3 linked regions of the Rattus norvegicus genome follow. The protein of the gene in region 1 interacts with the protein of each later gene in a pairwise test. Links are inferred from orthologs where the notes say so. Each region holds a gene or a part of one and is shown in the gene's direction. Other genes may lie near its edges.

Region 1 (5,663 bases):
CATCTGTGTTCAAATCCCTTGGGACAAGAATCCCGAGGCTCTGGCCAAATGGGCAGAAGGCCGGACAGGCTTTCCGTGGATTGACGCCATCATGACACAGCTTCGTCAGGAGGGCTGGATCCACCATCTAGCCCGACATGCAGTTGCCTGTTTCCTGACCCGCGGCGACCTATGGATCAGTTGGGAAGAAGGGATGAAGGTAAATGTTCTGACTGACGAGAGTTTGCAGGAGTCTAGCTATACTGAGATGTGCACAGCTGAGGTCTGAGCAGCCTGCGAGGCTGAGTAAAGGGAAGCTTCACCAACTCAAGCATCGTGGGCTGCAGTGTGAGATGGGGAAGAGCAGGACCTGTGCGGCGCACTTGTCTGTCCTGTAGTTTGACTTTCCAGTGGATAAAGCACATAATGCCCACAGTATAGGCCCAGTTTTCAAGAGCAAGGTGTTGAACTCAGACAAGGGCTAGCTAAATGGCTTAACCATAAGTCATCCCTACAGTCAAACCATCCTTCTCTTAAGAGAGCTGTCACTGTTTAGCACTCTGGCCTTGTGTGGTAGTGCAGGCCTGCAGTCCATACTACATGATAGACATCAGAAGACCCGGACTGCAAGGCCACCCTCACTTGCACCCTTGGCTATAGCATCAGCTTGTCTTTAAGAGTAAGGAAAGTAATTTATTGATTTATTGGATAGCTGTATCTATAGGTGGCAGTCTCTGTCATACTCACCCATGAGCTCTTAGAAATAGTGAGTTCACATTACATGAACTGTAAGCTCTCTGTCATCGTTAAACTAAAGACCTGTATCATGAGTTACCTGTCTAGCTACATCATCAATCTTTCCAATTCAAGGAATGTTTATTTTAAAAACCTTTTTAAAATTTATGTGTGTATGGGTGGGTTAGAGGACAACTTGTTGGTTCTCTCCACCATGTGGGTTCTGGGACTTGAACTCAGTTGTCAGACGTGGCAGCAAGCCCCCTTACCCAGCGAGCCATCTCACCTCCTCAGGAACTGTTTCTAATCCTGTTCTTTGGTTTTTAGTTGTTAAGGGTTTGTTTCCCATCTTGTATTATCTTCTAGTACCTAATTAACACATTATTAATACATTATTTAATTTATTAATACATTATTTAGTTATATTTTCTTTGGATCAGAGAATTTGAAATGTAAACTATCATGCTACTGCATTTATGGTGCCGTGTAGTGGCATGTTTCCTCTGTCCATGCAGTACACCCAGGCTTTTAGATTTTGCGTTATGATTTATTTGATGATTTTTTTTTTGCTTTCTTAAACATGGGATACTAATCTTTTTTTAATCTACTATATCTTACAGCTCTTTAAAACTCAATAATTTGAGTAATTTTTACTTTCCCCACAGTAGTAGAAGTCCAAGGTCATTGTCTTAGTTATTTCTCTATTGTCATGACCAAACACTATGATCAAGGAAACTTATAAGCAGAGGCATGTAATTAGGGCCATGGTTTCAGAGAGTGGTAGAGTCTGTGACCATCTTGATGGGTGGCACAGCAGCAGGGAGGCAGGTGTGAATGTGGAGCAGGCGTTAAGAGCTTACACCTGATCCACAGGTACAGAGCAGAGAGAGGGAGGGAGGGAGGGAGGGAGGGAGGGAGGGAGGGAGAGAGAGAGAGAGAGAGAGAGAGAGAGAGAGAGAGAGAGAGAGAGAGAGAGAACACCCAGAAAATGATATGGGCCTTTAAAACCCTAAGCCTACTGCCAGTGACTGTCTTCAAAGAGGACACACTTCCTAGTCCTTCCCAAACACTTCCAGCTATAGAGCAAGTGTATGTTGTCGTTCCCCAACCCATCTGCCTCTGTCTCTCTTACACACACACACACACACACACACACACACACACACACACACACACACACACACTTGTGCACCCGTGGGGGCTCTCCACAGTTATAAAAGTAAATTCTATCCAGAAAGCTGTATTTCCTGTGTATTCTCTCCCAGACATTGCTTATTAGAACGCAGCATATATTTTGGAATGTTTAATTTTCAGTTCTGCCTAGATTTTCCTGTCGAGTTTTGATCTACAGTGACCTTCAAAATGCTGTTTTGGGTAATTGTGTGTGGGAATTGATTGGTCACTGCTCCTTCCACAGGTCTTTGAAGAATTACTGCTTGACGCCGACTGGAGCATCAATGCTGGGAGTTGGATGTGGCTGTCCTGCAGTTCCTTTTTCCAACAGTTTTTCCACTGCTACTGCCCTGTTGGTTTTGGTAGGAGGACAGACCCCAATGGAGACTATATTAGGTAAGGCAAGGGTGGTTAGTGTTCAGTTGGAAGTAGCTAATCCAAGGAAGAGCTTTCGTCCTTAAGCAGCACTAGTATTCTCTAGTCTTTTGGGGCATGGTGACACACACCTTTAATCCCAGCACCCGCAGGCAGAGGTAGGCTCATCTCGAAATTCAAGACCTTTATTCTTGATGGGCAGCAGAACTGAGAAGAATAATACATTATTTAAGTGATACTGATTTGCTTTTTGTCATTCATGGTTGATAATTTGTTGTAATGTGCTTATAGTACAGTTCATTTAAAAAATTCTCTACCTTCTCCCAAAAGGCGTTATTTGCCTGTCCTAAGAGGCTTCCCTGCAAAATATATCTACGATCCTTGGAATGCACCAGAAGGTATCCAGAAGGTAGCCAAATGTTTGATAGGCGTTAATTATCCCAAACCAATGGTGAACCATGCCGAGGCAAGTCGACTGAATATTGAAAGAATGAAGCAGATCTATCAGCAGCTCTCCCGCTACAGAGGGCTAGGTATGTCAGTTCCTTATGGGCGTCTCCTGTCAGTGCAGGCCTAGCTGTCATTGATTTCTTTCTTGGTCAGAATTTAACAGGAAAATGTCTCCCTTCAGGTCTCCTTGCCTCAGTCCCTTCTAATCCTAATGGGAACGGAGGGCTCATGGGCTATGCTCCTGGAGAGAATGTCCCCAGCGGTGGCAGTGGTGGCGGAAGTAAGTGAGACAGTTCTAGACATGGGGACATGGTAAAGAGGGGACAACCGAGTACATGCTCCTGTGGGCCTTGTTGGAATAGGTTTGACTTTTTGAAAAGCTGTCTTTAAAATTAAAAGTTGTTTGTGTACATGCATACAGGTGCATATGTATCCCTACCTCCCTCCCTCCTTCGGCAAAGATGTTAAATATGCAAAATAGCATTGCATGTAGTTGATACCGAGTCAGACTAAGACTTGTAAAGTGAATGATACAGGGTTTTGTTTTTATGTGGTCCTAGAGCAAGCTCAGGTAAGTGCTGTACCACCACGAACTCCACCATCAAGATCAGCTTGAGTGTAGAGTGAAACTCTGATCTCGTTTCAGAATGTTCATTACTTTTTACTCTTACTGAGTGCACACATCTAGAAGGCAGTCTAAACCGTTGTTAGTCTGCAGAGAGCGGACCAATTACCATATGTGTGCTTCATCCTTTTGCACGTGAGTCTGTCATACAAAGTCTTTCTGAGAAACCGTTTAGTTTCTTAATCAGTTTTCAGTGTCTGTGATAGTAGCATCGAAAGTCCCTCTATGAGCTGAGAGGTGGCTCAGTGGCTCAGAGTGTTTGCTGCTCTTACAAAGGACCCAAGTCAGATTCCCAGATCACAGCACACATCTCACAACTGCCTGTAACTGCAGCTTCAGGAATCTGACACCCTGTGCTAGCCTTTTCAGATACCTGCACACACACACACACACACACACACACTGTACTTAAAAACAAGCAGACACAATGTAACTATCTGTAGTTAGTTAAAAATACATATCTGTAGTCCTTAGAAGTCAGTGTATGGTGGAAATTTGCATCCATTCAAGCAAAACTCATGTGAGGCAGAATAATGAGACTCAAAACAAACATCTCTTCAGAAATGCTTTTTTATTTTAAGGTACAGCATGTTCTAAGCTATTATTAAAAATAAAGCTTTTTCTTCTTCTTCTTTTCTTTATGGTGCTGAGAATTGAAGCCAGAACTTTTTTTTTTTTTTTTTTTTTTTTTTTTTATTAACTTGAGTATTTCTTATATACATTTCGAGTGTTATTCCCTTTCCCGGTTTCCGGGCAAACATCCCCCTCCCCCCTCCCCTTCCTTATGGGTGTTCCCCTCCCAACCCTCCCCCCATTGCCGCCCTCCCCCATAGTCTAGTTCACTGGGGGTTCAGTCTTAGCAGGACCCAGGGCTTCCCCTTCCACTGGTGCTCTTACTAGGATATTCATTGCTACCTATGAGGTCAGAGTCCAGGGTCAGTCCATGTATAGTCTTTAGGTAGTGGCTTAGTCCCTGGAAGCTCTGGTTGCTTGGCATTGTTGTACATATGGGGTCTCGAGCCCCTTCAAGCTCTTCCAGTTCTTTCTCTGATTCCTTCAATAGGGGACCTATTCTCAGTTCAGTGGTTTGCTGCTGGCATTCGCCTCTGTATTTGCTGTATTCTGGCTGTGTCTCTCAGGAGTGATCTACATCCATCTCCTGTCGGTCTGCACTTCTTTGCTTCATCCATCTTGTCTAATTGGGTGGCTGTATATGTATGGGCCACATGTGGGGCAGACTCTGAATGGGTGTTCCTTCAGTCTCTGTTTTAATCTTTGCCTCTCCCTTCCCTGCCAAGAGTATTCTTTTTCCTCATTTAAAGAAGGAGTGAAGCATTCACATTTTGATCATCCGTCTTGAGTTTTGTTTGTTCTAGGCATCTAGGGTAATTCAAGCATTTGGGCTAATAGCCACTTATCAATGAGTGCATACCATGTATGTCTTTCTGTGATTGGGTTAGCTCACTCAGGATGATATTTTCCAGTTCCAACCATTTGCCTACGAATTTCATAAACTCGTTGTTTTTGACAGCTGAGTAATATTCCATTGTGTAGATGTACCCCGTTTTCTGTATCCATTCCTCTGTTGAAGGGCATCTGGAAGCCAGAACTTTTATGCTGGGAGAAAACATTCTACACACTGAGCTGTATTCCCAGTCTGAGAATACAATCCCTTTAAGAAGTAACTATTTGTAATCAGAAAGTTCTTATGTCTCTATGAAAGCAGCATGTGTGCTGTCTTCTAAGGATTAAGTTTTGTGGGGAAGAAGACATGTTTTTGTCTTGCACCCAGAAGTAGAGGATTGGGCTACCTCTGACAGTGATCTCCAGGGCCGTTAGTGGTGCGTCCTCGCTTGGTGTTTGAGACACCATCCTGGGAAGGTCGGCCAGGCCGGCTTACAAGGCCTCGCAGTGTGGAAGCTCCTGCATAAGACTGAGTGCAGCTGAGCCCCTTCTGCATCAGGAGGCCTGCTCTGCAGATGCGTTTCTGTGTGTGCTGTTTATAAGGTAAAATAGTTCACAGCTGGGACCTGACTCACCTGAAAACAGCTGTCAGTGGTGACAGTTTGCTGCAGATCTGTTCCCCTGCAGCCCCTATAATTTGAAGCAAGTCTCTGTATGTTGTTTTGAAAGTCCTTTCAGATCTCTTGTTCAGTTCTCGGCCTGCCTTGTCAGCCCCCATACAAGTGTGAGAGGCAGAAGCTCTGGGGAGGGCCCTGCTGACAGGCAGGAAGCAGAGGGTGGGCGCTGGTTGGCTGTAGGTGCCTGGGGTGAACTGTGCTGGGACACACTGCCCCCGAGCCGTTATTAGGAGTTATCCTGAGGC
Region 2 (6,367 bases), on another chromosome or scaffold:
TCGGGATCTGAAGTGTCAGAGGAAAGGGTTGGATGACAAGGTTGGGAAGAGGCCAGGGAATGTCAGCCTAGGTTTTCCTTTCTCCCACTTCCATTGGGTCTCAGACATTTCATTCAACTGGCACCAGGGCAGGTGTCTGCAAAGTTGTGTCAGCTTAGGAAGTAGGTTTCTCTTGAGCACCCACTGTGGCCCAGGCATCCTCCCTGAAAAGGAGTAATTTCCCTCCCTCACTTCCCTTTCATTATTGACTGTATGAGGCATCCTGAGCGCATTGGCTGACTGAGCGGTGTCTGAGGCCCTTCAGCCCAGCACCAGCACCCAAGTCCACGTGCAAGGATGTGTGTGACACAGCCCTGACCTCAGTGGGGGCCAGTAGCCAATCAGATGCCAGGGAGAGATCCTTAGCCAACCGGGGGGGCGGGGCCTGCGGCTCTTCGGGCAGAAGGCCAATGAGGGGCAGGGCCTGGCATTATGCAACCCGCCTCCCAGCCTCGCGGAGCTTCTCGGTTGCGGGCCGAAACGGCAGGCGGCTGGAGGGCGCTCGAACGGCCAGGTAGGGATCCCTGCTGCAATCCTAGGGTTAGTCTTTGTCCCGGAGCTTGGCCACCACTACTTCCAACCTGATGGGTCACTTTCAGCTCTCAGAGAGCAAAACAGAAATCCGCCTTTCCTGTCACTGCCCACCACTTCCCGCCCCTGGGGCTCTAGGTGTTTAACTCAACCCTTTACGATGTCTGCGTTTATTATTCACTCACCTAACCTCCTGCCCTGCTCCTCCAGGGCAGCCATCTGAACCTACGAGACCTTTACAAACACGACCCCCTCACCCATTTTTCGACACTCGGGAGTCCATGGGTTTGCCCTGGTCCAAAGACCCCCTTCAGGCTTTTGCGCTCCTGGTCTTCCTCCAATTTCTGGCCCTATGCCGGTCGTGATGTCAGCCGCTTCAGGCTGGAACATCCTGTTCCCAGCGCTAGTTCTTGCTGTTGGCCACAGCCTTCCTTCCCTTTTCTCCTGGAGCTCAGAAAATACTTGGGATGGGGGTGTGGTTAGACGGAGTAGAGGAAAAACTATGTTGGTTGTGTGTCCTCTATCTAAGACATTGATGTGGTGGTAGGGTTAACTAGAAGAGTAAGGGACGAAGGAAGATGCATGGATCCTTGCCTATGGCAAGTGGTAACTCCAGTCTTGGCGTTTGGGAGTGGGTAGGGGCCTTAGAAAGAAAAGCAGTGTCTTGATCAGAATATTGTTCAAGGCAAGAGCGAGGATGGGGGCGTTTCCACGAAGAGTAGAGGCCGCATATTTCTCTGTGGGGAAACTAGGACTTGCTTCTGTAGTCTCTCTAGTTTGTCATTCTTCACTTGGCTCCTAGGCTGTCTGGGCCTTGGGGATTTGTTACGGTGGGTGACCTTCTTCCCCCATCCCGGTGCTGCCCTGAACCTTGTTAGCCAGTATGAAGATGTGTTGGCCAGTATCGGAGTGGGTCGGTTTCCCACTTCCAGGACGATAGGGGTTGGGGGAGGGGTCGCTCCTGCCCTCCTGTGGTCCCTCCAGCAACCGCTGAGCTCAGCGGCTGACGTCGGTTTCCCTGGCGACCGCGGCTGTGGCGGAAGCGCGTGGTGGGGCCAGGCACATCGGCGCGCATGTGCAGCGGGGGTGGCACCGCCCCCGGATAAAATTAGCCCGGAAGCCTAAATATAGGAGGCGATCAGCTCACCCCCTGCGCCGAGGCCTCAAAGTCCCAGACCAAGTGGGGACCTAATGAGAATTTGGGCATAGGAAACCTGCAAGCTTTGACCCACAGTGTAGTTGTAGTGGATTTTTTGGGCTGTACTCACTGCACACTGGCAAGAGGTGTAAGAGATGGCCTAAGAGAGCTGCCTTCCTACCTGTGGTATCCTTAGGGGAATAGGAAACAGAACTTACCTTTCTACTGCAAACCCCAGGCCTGGGACAGGCAGAGGAAGGACTGAGTGTAACCAGCAGGTGCTGTGGGGTTAATAACTCAGCTTTTGCCAACCATTCCTTCTTGGTTTCTTTTTCTAGGTGCCGTGATTAAATTAGTCAGCCCTCAGAGACAGGCGTCCTACCTCTTTATCCAGCCCTCAAAAGCCCTGTTGTGTACCCGTTGTGGCCTCTTCACCTTCCCTGTTTTGTCCTCCACTGCATGGCCCAGACATGAGCGGTCCCCTAGAAGGGGCTGATGGGGGAGGAGACCCCAGGCCCGGAGAACCTTTTTGTCCTGGAGGAGTTCCATCCCCTGGGGCCCCACAGCATCGGCCTTGTCCAGGCCCTAGCCTGGCTGATGACACTGATGCAAACAGCAATGGCTCAAGTGGCAATGAATCCAATGGACACGAGTCCAGGGGTGCATCTCAGCGGAGTTCTCACAGTTCATCTTCTGGCAATGGCAAGGACTCAGCTCTGCTGGAGACCACTGAGAGCAGCAAGAGGTGTGTGCACGTGTGTGTGTGTGTGTGTGTGTGTGTGTGTGTGTGTGTGTGTGTGAATGTGTATGATAGTATGAGGCTGTTGACCACGTGGCCCTCACTTAGCCTGTTACTTCTTTTCTAGTACAAACTCACAGAGCCCATCCCCACCCAGCAGCTCCATTGCCTATAGTCTCCTGAGTGCAAGCTCAGAGCAGGACAACCCGTCTACCAGTGGCTGCAGGTGTGTGGGGTGAGGGCTGTGGGAGATGTCTGGGGGTTGGGGCCAGACTCTGGAGCTAATGTCTTTGCCCCTTCCTACCTGTGGGTCTTGCAGCAGTGAACAGTCAGCTCGAGCCAGGACCCAGAAAGAACTCATGACCGCACTTCGGGAGCTCAAACTTCGGCTGCCACCAGAGCGTCGGGGAAAGGGCCGCTCTGGGACCCTGGCCACACTCCAGTATGCTCTGGCCTGTGTCAAGCAGGTGCAGGGTGAGTGGTGCTTCCTGGCAGGGTGTGGCCAGGGCATGGACTACTGTATGGGGGCCTTTCTCCTTACTGAAGATGGCTGGGATTCCCTTCTCCTGCAGCTAACCAGGAATATTACCAGCAGTGGAGCCTGGAGGAGGGTGAGCCCTGTGCCATGGACATGTCTACTTACACCCTGGAGGAATTGGAGCATATCACATCTGAATACACTCTCCGCAACCAGGTCGGTGCAGCTTGGGTCTCAGTGCGCACACACTCTCATTCTCATATAGCTCCTAAATCTTCTCTCAATCTTGGTCCCATTCTAGGATACCTTCTCGGTGGCTGTGTCCTTCCTGACAGGCCGGATTGTCTATATTTCGGAGCAGGCAGGTGTCCTGCTGCGTTGCAAACGGGATGTGTTTCGGGGTGCTCGCTTCTCAGAGCTCCTAGCTCCCCAGGATGTGGGTGTCTTCTATGGCTCTACTACACCATCTCGCCTGCCCACCTGGGGCACTGGCACCTCTGCAGGTATAGTACCAGTGTTCTGTGGAGAGGCTTGAAAGCTTTCATGCTGTGGGTTCTCCTCAGCCCAGGACAGAAAGGGCGCTGGCTGTGCTCACTTCCATTCCCATCTGTTCTAGGTTCAGGCCTCAAGGACTTCACCCAGGAAAAGTCTGTCTTCTGCCGAATCAGGTAGGCCTCTCCTACTCATCCTGCCATCTCTATACTATGGTCTGTGACAAGGGGGTGGGACAGCTTTCCCCTGGAAACCTCTAACACTCATCTCTCCCTTGCCAGAGGAGGGCCTGACCGGGATCCAGGGCCTCGCTACCAGCCATTCCGCCTAACCCCATATGTGACCAAGATTCGTGTCTCAGATGGGGCCCCTGCACAGCCGTGCTGCCTGCTCATTGCAGAGCGCATCCACTCTGGTTATGAAGGTGGACAGGCTAGGGCCGGGCCTGGGGGATGAGGGGAGGAAGGGTTTCCTCTAGGATGGGGTGCAGGTCAAGATATGAATTTGGGAGGCACAAGCTGAGTCCTTGGGATTAGAAAAGTATTAAAGGCGGGGAGTTCAGACCCTGCGTGGAGGCTGAGCTGTGACCGGTGAGAAAGAGTACATGGGTGATTCTCAGTGTCTTCTCTGGTGTGAGTCACCAGATGACTCAGACCCTGTAGGCCCTAAAGCCAGGTCTGAGCTGGGAGGAAGAATGCCAGGCAGCCAGACCCCAGGCAGAGAGGAGGGCTGAGGAGCTGGACCACTGGGGCTACAACCTACATGTTCTGTGCTGCAGCTCCCCGGATTCCTCCTGACAAGAGGATCTTCACCACACGGCACACACCAAGTTGCCTCTTCCAGGATGTAGATGAAAGGTGAGGTAAAGACTTGGATGAAGGTGGGTGGCCAGGGCCAAGACCAAGGTCTGACGTCTCCTCCCATTGCAGGGCTGCCCCACTGCTGGGTTACCTACCCCAGGATCTCCTGGGGGCTCCGGTACTTCTCTTTCTACATCCTGAGGACCGACCTCTCATGCTGGCCATTCATAAGAAGAGTGAGTTCTCTTCTCCTGCTCTCCTGTCCTCCCTGCCTGTCCCTAGGGCTTCTTAACTGTTCTTGTGATGGTGTCTCCTGAGGCTTTGCTCTCTCGAGTATCTGTGTGTCTCTTTCTCCGCATTATTCAGCTCCCCAATCCACTGACACCCACTCTCTCCTCCACCAACAGTTCTGCAGTTGGCAGGCCAGCCCTTTGACCACTCCCCTATTCGATTTTGTGCTCGGAATGGGGAATATGTCACCATGGATACCAGCTGGGCCGGCTTTGTGCACCCCTGGAGCCGCAAGGTGGCTTTCGTGCTGGGCCGCCATAAAGTGCGCACGTAAGCGAACTGTGTCTTTGAGCTGGCGCTGGGGATGGGGCAATATGACAGGGTTAGGGAAATGACTGAGTCTGCCTTTACAACCCTGCAGGGCACCCCTGAATGAGGACGTCTTCACACCCCCAGTTCCCAGTCCAGCTCCGTCCCTGGACTCTGATATCCAGGAGCTCTCAGAGCAGATCCATCGATTGCTGCTGCAGGTGAGCGTGGAGGAGAGCTCAGGAATGAAGTGGGCAGGAAGAGGTATAGACACTAACCAATCCATCCTCCTCCTTGCTGTAGCCAGTGCACAGCTCCAGCACCACGGGGCTCTGTGGAGTTGGCCCTCTGATGTCCCCTGGTCCTCTCCACAGCCCTGGCTCCTCCAGTGATAGCAATGGGGGTGATGCTGAGGGGCCTGGGCCTCCTGCTCCAGTGAGTACCGTCGCCCATGGTGACTTTCCTTCTGGCTGTCCTTCTACTGCAGATCATCACTGCAGTCCCTCCTGCTACCCCTACCCAGGCTCCCGGGTCTTCTTACTGATACTTGGGCTCCTGGTACTGCCATCCCAATGCTGCCCAGTGCTCTGCTGCCCCACAGGTGACTTTCCAGCAGATCTGTAAGGATGTGCATCTGGTAAAGCACCAGGGACAACAGCTCTTCATTGAGTCCCGGGCCAAGCCTCCGCCCCGGCCCCGCCTCCTTGGTGAGTAGGTACTGCCATAGACCCCGGGATGAGGAGTAAGGCTTGAGGGTCCCCTGGCCCTCACTCCCAACCCATTTACTGTTTCTTTTTCTTTTGCCCCAGCTACAGGTACATTCAAGGCCAAAGTCCTTCCCTGCCAGTCCCCAAACCCGGAACTGGAGGTGGCCCCTGCTCCTGACCAAGCCTCATTAGCATTGGCCCCTGAGGAGCCAGAGAGGAAAGAGTCCTCTGGCTGCTCCTACCAGCAAATCAACTGCCTGGACAGCATCCTCAGGTGAGGCTTGCCAGTCACCTTCTCCCTCGGCCCTACCTTGCCTGCCCAGGCCCTGCCCTTAAACCCTTTGCTTTATCTATCCCCAGGTATTTGGAAAGCTGCAACATTCCTAACACAACCAAGCGTAAATGTGCCTCCTCTTCCTGCACGGCCTCTTCAGCCTCTGATGATGACAAGCAGAGGGCGGGTCCAGTTCCTGTGGGGGCCAAGAAAGGTAAAGACCCAGTGCATGCCTGGCTCCCATTGCCCTGTCCCAGCCTGTCCCAGGCCTATACACTTCTGCCTTAGGCTCCCCTGCTCTTCCCTGGTCCCCCTTTCCTGCCTCCTGATCTCCAGGTTCCTCCCTCTAGCCAATCCTTCTCTACTCCTCCCTGGGATCCTTCTCCTGACCTCACAAGGGGCAGAGGTGGTAACCAGTGCTGTCTCTCCGCACAGATACGTCGTCAGCAGTGCTGTCTGGGGAGGGGGCAACTCCTCGGAAGGAGCCAGTGGTGGGAGGCACCCTGAGCCCGCTCGCCCTGGCCAATAAGGCAGAGAGCGTGGTGTCCGTCACCAGTCAGTGTAGCTTCAGCTCCACCATCGTCCATGTGGGAGACAAGAAGCCCCCGGAGTCGGGTATGGGCATGGAG
Region 3 (6,404 bases), on another chromosome or scaffold:
CTCTCTCCTTGTGCACAGTGATAATTTTTGTTTGCCAAGACTTCGTCACAGAGACAACTCCATGTGGGTACTGACCAAGACAGCAGGTCTACTGATGCCCGTGTTGCTTTCTCTTAGACTTTTGGTGATTGTCCCGAGACAGCGTTCTTTCTATGAGCAGCCACAAATCTCTGTGGGCTCAGACTGAGTTGTGACTTAGGGTTCCCATCTTGATCTTTTATGCATCTGTTCAGACACCTCCGTCCTACCCTGTCTGAGAACAGCAGGCTCCCCCAAGACTGGACCCCACAGTTGCTCCTGTTATGAAGTCCACTGTTCCCTAGCAAAATTTGGTTGATGTCATGTAGTGTCTCTTTCTCTCTTGGCTTTCCATCACATGAATGCAAATCTCCTAGTTTTTCTTTCAGGACATGGGTAAAAGTCCTGAGTCTGGGCCTAGTTGGGAGCCTTGCACCATTATTTTTTTGGGGGGGTTGGGGGTGGGTAATTGGTCTGATGTGAGCCTTTAGAGTGGAAACCAAACCAAAACACATTTAGAACCGGACTGACACTTTTGTAAAATGGGTTAAGAACTGCTTTCTGCACAGGGTGGTTGTCAGGATACAAGGATTAAGAAAATGAAGGAGAGCTTTTAGCACGTGCCGGGCACACAACACAGTAGAGAGATATTGTGGGATGCATCAGCCGGCATCTTCAGGTTACCGGAATTTAGCTAGCTATTAGTCCATTTAATTAGGTCAGCATCCAGCTCGCATTTCCATCTTGTAAATAATATCCTCTCTAATGCTGCATTAAAGTTCCATCTACACAGAGAGATCCCTTCACAAAACAGGACAGAGAAAGAGTAAATCTGCTTTGAAACTCGGGGTAAGTGGGAAGTTACCCATGAACTTCTTTGGTCTTGAAGTCAATACACATTTCCATAAAGGCTGCGTGCCTTGCAAGGGGCTGGAGATGGGTCATGGCCTTCCTCTCTCTTTCTCTCTTTTTAAAAATCTCTGCGCGCACGGGGGTGCCTCAGGAGGCAGAGGCAGGTGAATATCTGTGAGTTTGATTCGAAGCCAGCCTGAGTTCCAGGACAGCTAGGGCTACAACAGAGCAACAAACCACACAAACTAACAACTTTGAAACTACCCCCTCCCTAATCCCCCCCCCCCCAACTCCCGGCTCCTTAGATACTTTGGCAAAGTAGATTTGCTAGGACCCTGTCGGTAACATGTAACAGAAACTTGCTCAGGTCTCACCCTGTGCCCAGGCTAGCTCAGTACTTTCAACTATCCCCCTGCCTCAGCGTCTTGAGGGTTGGAATTACAGACTACGCCACCCCCACCCCCACCCCCCCCCGGAGACTTCTCTTTCGAACTGGAATGACAGCTCCACCGGACGCTTGGAGGTCAAGACAAAAAGAACACGAGATCCGGTTAGTCGTCGGAAGGAAAAGTCTTCTAAATACGTTAGCTATTAGCGCTGTGGTTCCGACTGGGACAAGTCAGGGGTTTCAGGAAGGTTCTGTCACTCTGTGTTCCTATAATGTGGTTTCCTAGATGGAGCTGGAGAGGGATGGGCGAGGAGATGCGGCGTTTTCTCAGCGTTCTGCGAGCAAGGAAGGGGACGAAGGAGAAAGGGAGAGCTGGGAGGCAGGCACTAGCTGGGTACGCGACTGAGGAACAGTGGACTACGGCGAGCTCGCAGAGTCCACACCGCGGTGGCCTCAGCGAGCTTTAGACCTGACAGAAAAAAACTGAAGGCTGGGGCAAGAAATCCACAGAGCGCGCCGATTGGTCCACTCCTCGGGGCGTGTGCTTCTGTGCACCAAATGATTGGTGAAGGGAAAGTAGCAGGTAAACCAGCCCTGACGTCTTGCCATTGGTCAGCGGCTTTTCTATCGGTCACTGGATTGGCTATCTTAACGCGGAGCCGAACGCGAATTGGTTTGGGTTGTCCGCCAAGACAATTCAGTTCGCGCGCTCTGATTGGCTAGCGGGAAGAGGCAGGTATCCGGGCTCCGCGGCTCCTCCATTGGTGGGCGGGGAAGGGGGGTTGGGCACAGCGATTGGTGGGCGGGGGGCCGGGCCTGGGCCGGCGGGGAGCGGATTGGTCGGAAAGTAGGTTAGTGGTGCGACATTTAGGGAAGGCAGAAAGTAGGTCAGGGACGGAGGTGCCTGTTTACCCGCGCCGGACTTGCCGCCGCCGCCGCCGCGGGATCCGAGTGCGGGTGCGGGCGCGGGCGCTCGCGGCGAGCCACGGTGAGTGTCGGCACGGCTGCGGGCAGCGGCCGTCTCGGGGCGTCCCGTCGGGGGTCGCGAGTTCTCGGGCCGGCGCACCGCCCCCGCCCGCGGCGCAGCCGGGCCGCCGGGAGCCCTGCCCGACGTGCCCGCTGCCGGCCTTAAAGGGCCCGTGCGGCTCCCAGCCCCCACCCAGCCTCGGGGAGGCTGCGCCCCTTAAAGGCGCCGCTCCTGCGCACCCCCATCTTCCCCGCCTGGGCTGCACAGCGGGCGGGGGAGGACAGGGGGGACCCTGGGACACTGTCAGCGGGCGCGCCCACCTTCCCCGCGCGGGCATCACCACCTGGCTCGGGAGGGGGCGGCCGGCGGCCTCTTAAAGAGACAGCAGTACCGGGTAGCGGCAGTGACCCGAGCCTGGGACGAGCTCCGGGATGCATCCCCGGGAGCTTCTGGATCCCCGAGGGGATGGCCGGGACGCGGGCAGAACGATGCTATGCGGCGCTTGCCTGGTCAACCCTTCTACACTTCCCCCTCGGGAACCGGGTGGGGGCGGGGAGGGCGTCTCCGTCAAGTCGGGGCGTCGGTGCTGGTGCGTCCTTATGGCCTGTCTTGGGGCTGGCGCGGACCCCGGGAATCCCCTGGCAGGCATAGACCAGGCCCACGGACAGCCGTCGGGCCTGCGCTGTCCGGTACCTGGGTGGCCCTGGAGGATGTGTCTTCCCTTTTGGGTCTGCGAGTAGGTACCGGCTGGCGTGGGGACCGTGCCCTGCACCCGGTGGGCATCCGAGAGACCAGAGGAGTGCGCAGTGAGGCTTCACTCAGATGCGGGTTTGACAGATAATCAGGGAAGACTAAGGTTTTTACTGGAGATTGCCACAGTGTTGACAGCTGGGGGAGCTCCGGTTTGCTGGGAGAGGTCGAAGGTAGAATTTTAGAAGGACTCTGGGCGCACATGGCAGCCATCCCCAGGGGTCGCGTAGCGGGTTGTGTTCCGCGGTTGTGTTCCGCGTTGGGGAAAGAAGGGCTGCGTTGGACACGGGTGTGTCTGTTGTCAAGTTACGCTGGCCAAACTGACATGATCGCCCCTTACCTATTCTGGATGCATCTTCTCCAGTCCTTTCCCAACTCTTAGCCTAGTTTTGGCCCTTTGACCCCTTGAGATTGGTCTCCTCTCCTGTCTTAAATTGTTACTTTTAATCAAGAATTCATTAGTCACACTTTCTTACCCAACTTCCAAAAATCAGATACTGTAATCACAACCAACTACTTTTTGACAGTACCAGTATGGCTAAGATATTCATTGTGGGGGGTTTTGGTTTTTTTGTTTTTTTTTTTTGGTTTTTTTTTTGTTCCCCCTCCCCCGGGTTTTGTTTTTGTTTTGTCCAGGAAAACTGATCATTAAATGCTTTTTTTCCTGCTCTTGCTTGTCATTTGTCCTTCTCACGGTTGCTGCTGTGCCCTCTTTCAATCTATTTTTGCTTAACAACTATTATTTTTATTCTTAAGATCCCATTGATACCAGGATCTGTCAATTTGGGTTGGTGGATTTTCTAATTAATGTACTAGTTGAATCATGAGCTTAAAATAATCGTTGCTGCTCTTGAGCAGTTTTGAATAATCCCAGGCTTCCCGTGCTTGCAAGAAGGGGGTGGGGGGACCACTGTTGTTAAATTTGATTCCCATACCAGTGAAGTTCCAAATATATATATATATATTTTAAAATACAAAATGTAATCTTTAAGATTATTCTTTGTTCCTGGGTTTATATTATTGCTAAATCTTTAAAAAAAAATGGGTTGTTGAACATATTTAGAAGGGTTAGAAATTTTCTAGGCAGATTTAAAATTGGGTGTATCAGCGGAAGCTGGATCTGTAGCAGCACTTTGGTTCTATCTTGGATGTTGCCAGTGAATAATGATGATGTTAAAACAGCAGTTAAATTTGTACTTTGTTCCAATCTCTGCTGCTTAAAATGGGAGAGGCTCTGATAAGGTGTGGAAGAGTGGTAACCTGGGAGTTAGAAGGCATGAAACTAGGTTCTAGCTCCAACTGGAACTCCGGTGGCTTTGCCACTTGGAGCAAGTTACTGTACTTTTCTGGGTTATGTTCACCTCTGATGGAAAGTCAGACGGTTGAACTAAGGGAGGTCAAAGGTTTCTACCACTCTTTGATTCTGTATGCCTCTCTGTGTGGGTGGGCATTTACCTCCTGGAGCTGTCAGAACAGTTGAGCAAAAGTCCTTTTTTTTTCCGTGGGACAGTTAAGGAGATCAACAGATGGTGTTTAAAGGGATCCATTTCAAATGATTTATAATTGATGACAATTCACCCGTCTCTTTGCTATCTGCAGAAGAGGTTTACATGCCACTGGGCAGGAAAAGGAAGTGGCCGTGTTTTCAGATTTATTCCTTCACATCCCCAGTCTCACTGGAATTCATGTATAGATAAGTGGTACTGAAAGACCTTGCCATGTTAACAGTGCTACATATGAACATGCAAAAATGAAAGATTTTATCTGTCCGTGGGGGACAGCCTGCTTTCTATCCTCTGAGCTTTTTTCTTTCTATGATTCCATCGTCGCCCCACTGTGGTAGGAGAATGTGAAGATTAAAGAGCTCCTGTCCCTGACAGCATGGCAGTTTCTGACAGTGACTTCAGTGTGATGCTAACTGAAATAGGCATTTGCAGAGACATTAGGAAAGACAAAACCCTTTCTAGACCTTTGAGGTTAAACAGGGAGCTCAGGGAACACAAGCACACCCTTTTCTGTCCGTCTTCTCCATTGTTGTCATTTCATCAGAGGACTCAGATTGACCCTGAACCTTTCTCCTCCCCTCCATCCACCTGCTATGACCTTTGCTTCTCAGCATCTTTTACCCATTCAGAGCATTCTGTCCAGTTTCTCACTGTCCCCTCCCCTCTTTCTCAGGTGGGAGAAAACATTGTTTTTCCCACTGAGCTCTCGAATAGGCAGGAGCCCCCGGGTTCTTGTGGAGGAAGGAGCTGGTGCTTGGGTTGGAGCTCTGTGGCTTTGGACCAGTGCCTGACTTCTTTGACCTCCATTCTACTCCTCTGGTGCAGTGACAGCGCCTGCCTCTTAGAGGATGACGGGACATGATGTGTGTCAGATGCCTAGCACACAGGAAGCCTCTCCTCAGTGCCAGATGCCACTCCCTCCCACCTCTGCCAGGCTCCTGTCACCAGAACATCCTTTGTACTCTGCCCTCGGAAACCCCACCAGTCTCAGTGGAACCTTTGTCTTGATTGGGGAATAAGAAGAAACAGATCTATTGTGAGTCTCTTGAACACTGGGCAGTTTCCATACCAGGTGCCCCTGAGTCTGGGTGTCTCCCCAACAAGATGCTAGCTTCCCTGAGAGCTGAACGTTCTCATCCTCTGGATTTTCTCCTTCTTTATACTTCTTAAGACCTCTAGAAACTTTTTAAGTCTTGCACTTCAGGTTGTTTTGATCCCTTTGCAGTTCGATCTTGTTTGTCTTTTATTCTCTGGAAGTCACTTCTTCCTTGTACCTTTAGGCCATGTTGCTTTCTTGATTCTCTTCCTGTTCCTGCCAAAGGTCAGCGTCTACCTTCTGCTCACACTGTCTCCTCACGCACACACACCTTATCCCCAGAGTCCCATCTGTAGTCAGGCCCCACTCCCTCCTGCTTTAACTGTGGCAGGTCTAGTAGTGTCCCATGGGGTTGCAGGCTTGGAGCCTGTCTTTTAGCACTGTTCCCCAGAATCCTGGAGCCTAGAGCTCCTCATGCCCCTCTTTCCCAGCTGTACAGCAAGGCACTTTTGTTAGGTGGTTTGGAGCCCCAGTGCTTTCACATTCCAAGTTTGCGTGCATCCTTCATCACTAATGGCCAACGTGCCTTTTCTCTCTGTGTTGCTATCCTCCTGATGGGAGCTACCTCTAGCTCCTGCAGCTGCAGTGTGGAGCGAATGAGTTAAGACACTGGGCGTGTATGGCAAGGTCTTCACCCCACACTCTGCAGTGGCTCAGTGGTGTTACTCCTCATTGCTCTGTTCCTCACTGTACTGAGGGGGGTTCTCGCCATCCAGCCCACATGCTGGCCAGCATTTGCTGTGTGCACAGGACTGTCTGGCCAAGCCAAAGGGTGGCCCTTCCCAGGCACCAGCCCTGGCCTAGTCCTCCCTACCTCCAGGTCTTCAC

What was found.
Region 2: the proteins of Cry1 (region 1) and Per1 interact in binary tests that used the Homo sapiens proteins (3 or more experiments, as listed by UniProt). The link is inferred for Rattus norvegicus from reciprocal best matches to the Homo sapiens genes CRY1 and PER1.
Region 3: the proteins of Cry1 (region 1) and Bmal1 interact in a two-hybrid assay, tested with the Homo sapiens proteins (3 studies listed by BioGRID, with this or other methods). The link is inferred for Rattus norvegicus from reciprocal best matches to the Homo sapiens genes CRY1 and BMAL1.

What each region holds. Positions count from the first base shown.
Region 1 is NC_086025.1:20,468,885-20,474,547, forward strand, and holds part of Cry1 (cryptochrome-1), read left to right. Parts: coding exon 1-199; intron 200-2,131; coding exon 2,132-2,283; intron 2,284-2,592; coding exon 2,593-2,795; intron 2,796-2,893; coding exon 2,894-2,992; intron 2,993-5,663.
Region 2 is NC_086028.1:54,302,255-54,308,621, forward strand, and holds the start of Per1 (period circadian protein homolog 1), read left to right. Parts: upstream 1-2,121; 5' UTR 2,122-2,178; coding exon 2,179-2,453; intron 2,454-2,574; coding exon 2,575-2,673; intron 2,674-2,766; coding exon 2,767-2,921; intron 2,922-3,019; coding exon 3,020-3,141; intron 3,142-3,226; coding exon 3,227-3,428; intron 3,429-3,541; coding exon 3,542-3,593; intron 3,594-3,698; coding exon 3,699-3,841; intron 3,842-4,195; coding exon 4,196-4,274; intron 4,275-4,346; coding exon 4,347-4,453; intron 4,454-4,624; coding exon 4,625-4,778; intron 4,779-4,869; coding exon 4,870-4,978; intron 4,979-5,060; coding exon 5,061-5,192; intron 5,193-5,358; coding exon 5,359-5,464; intron 5,465-5,566; coding exon 5,567-5,738; intron 5,739-5,824; coding exon 5,825-5,952; intron 5,953-6,173; coding exon 6,174-6,353; intron 6,354-6,367. UniProt on the Homo sapiens protein: Transcriptional repressor which forms a core component of the circadian clock.
Region 3 is NC_086019.1:176,764,170-176,770,573, forward strand, and holds the start of Bmal1 (basic helix-loop-helix ARNT-like protein 1), read left to right. Parts: upstream 1-2,158; 5' UTR 2,159-2,246; intron 2,247-6,404. UniProt on the Homo sapiens protein: Transcriptional activator which forms a core component of the circadian clock.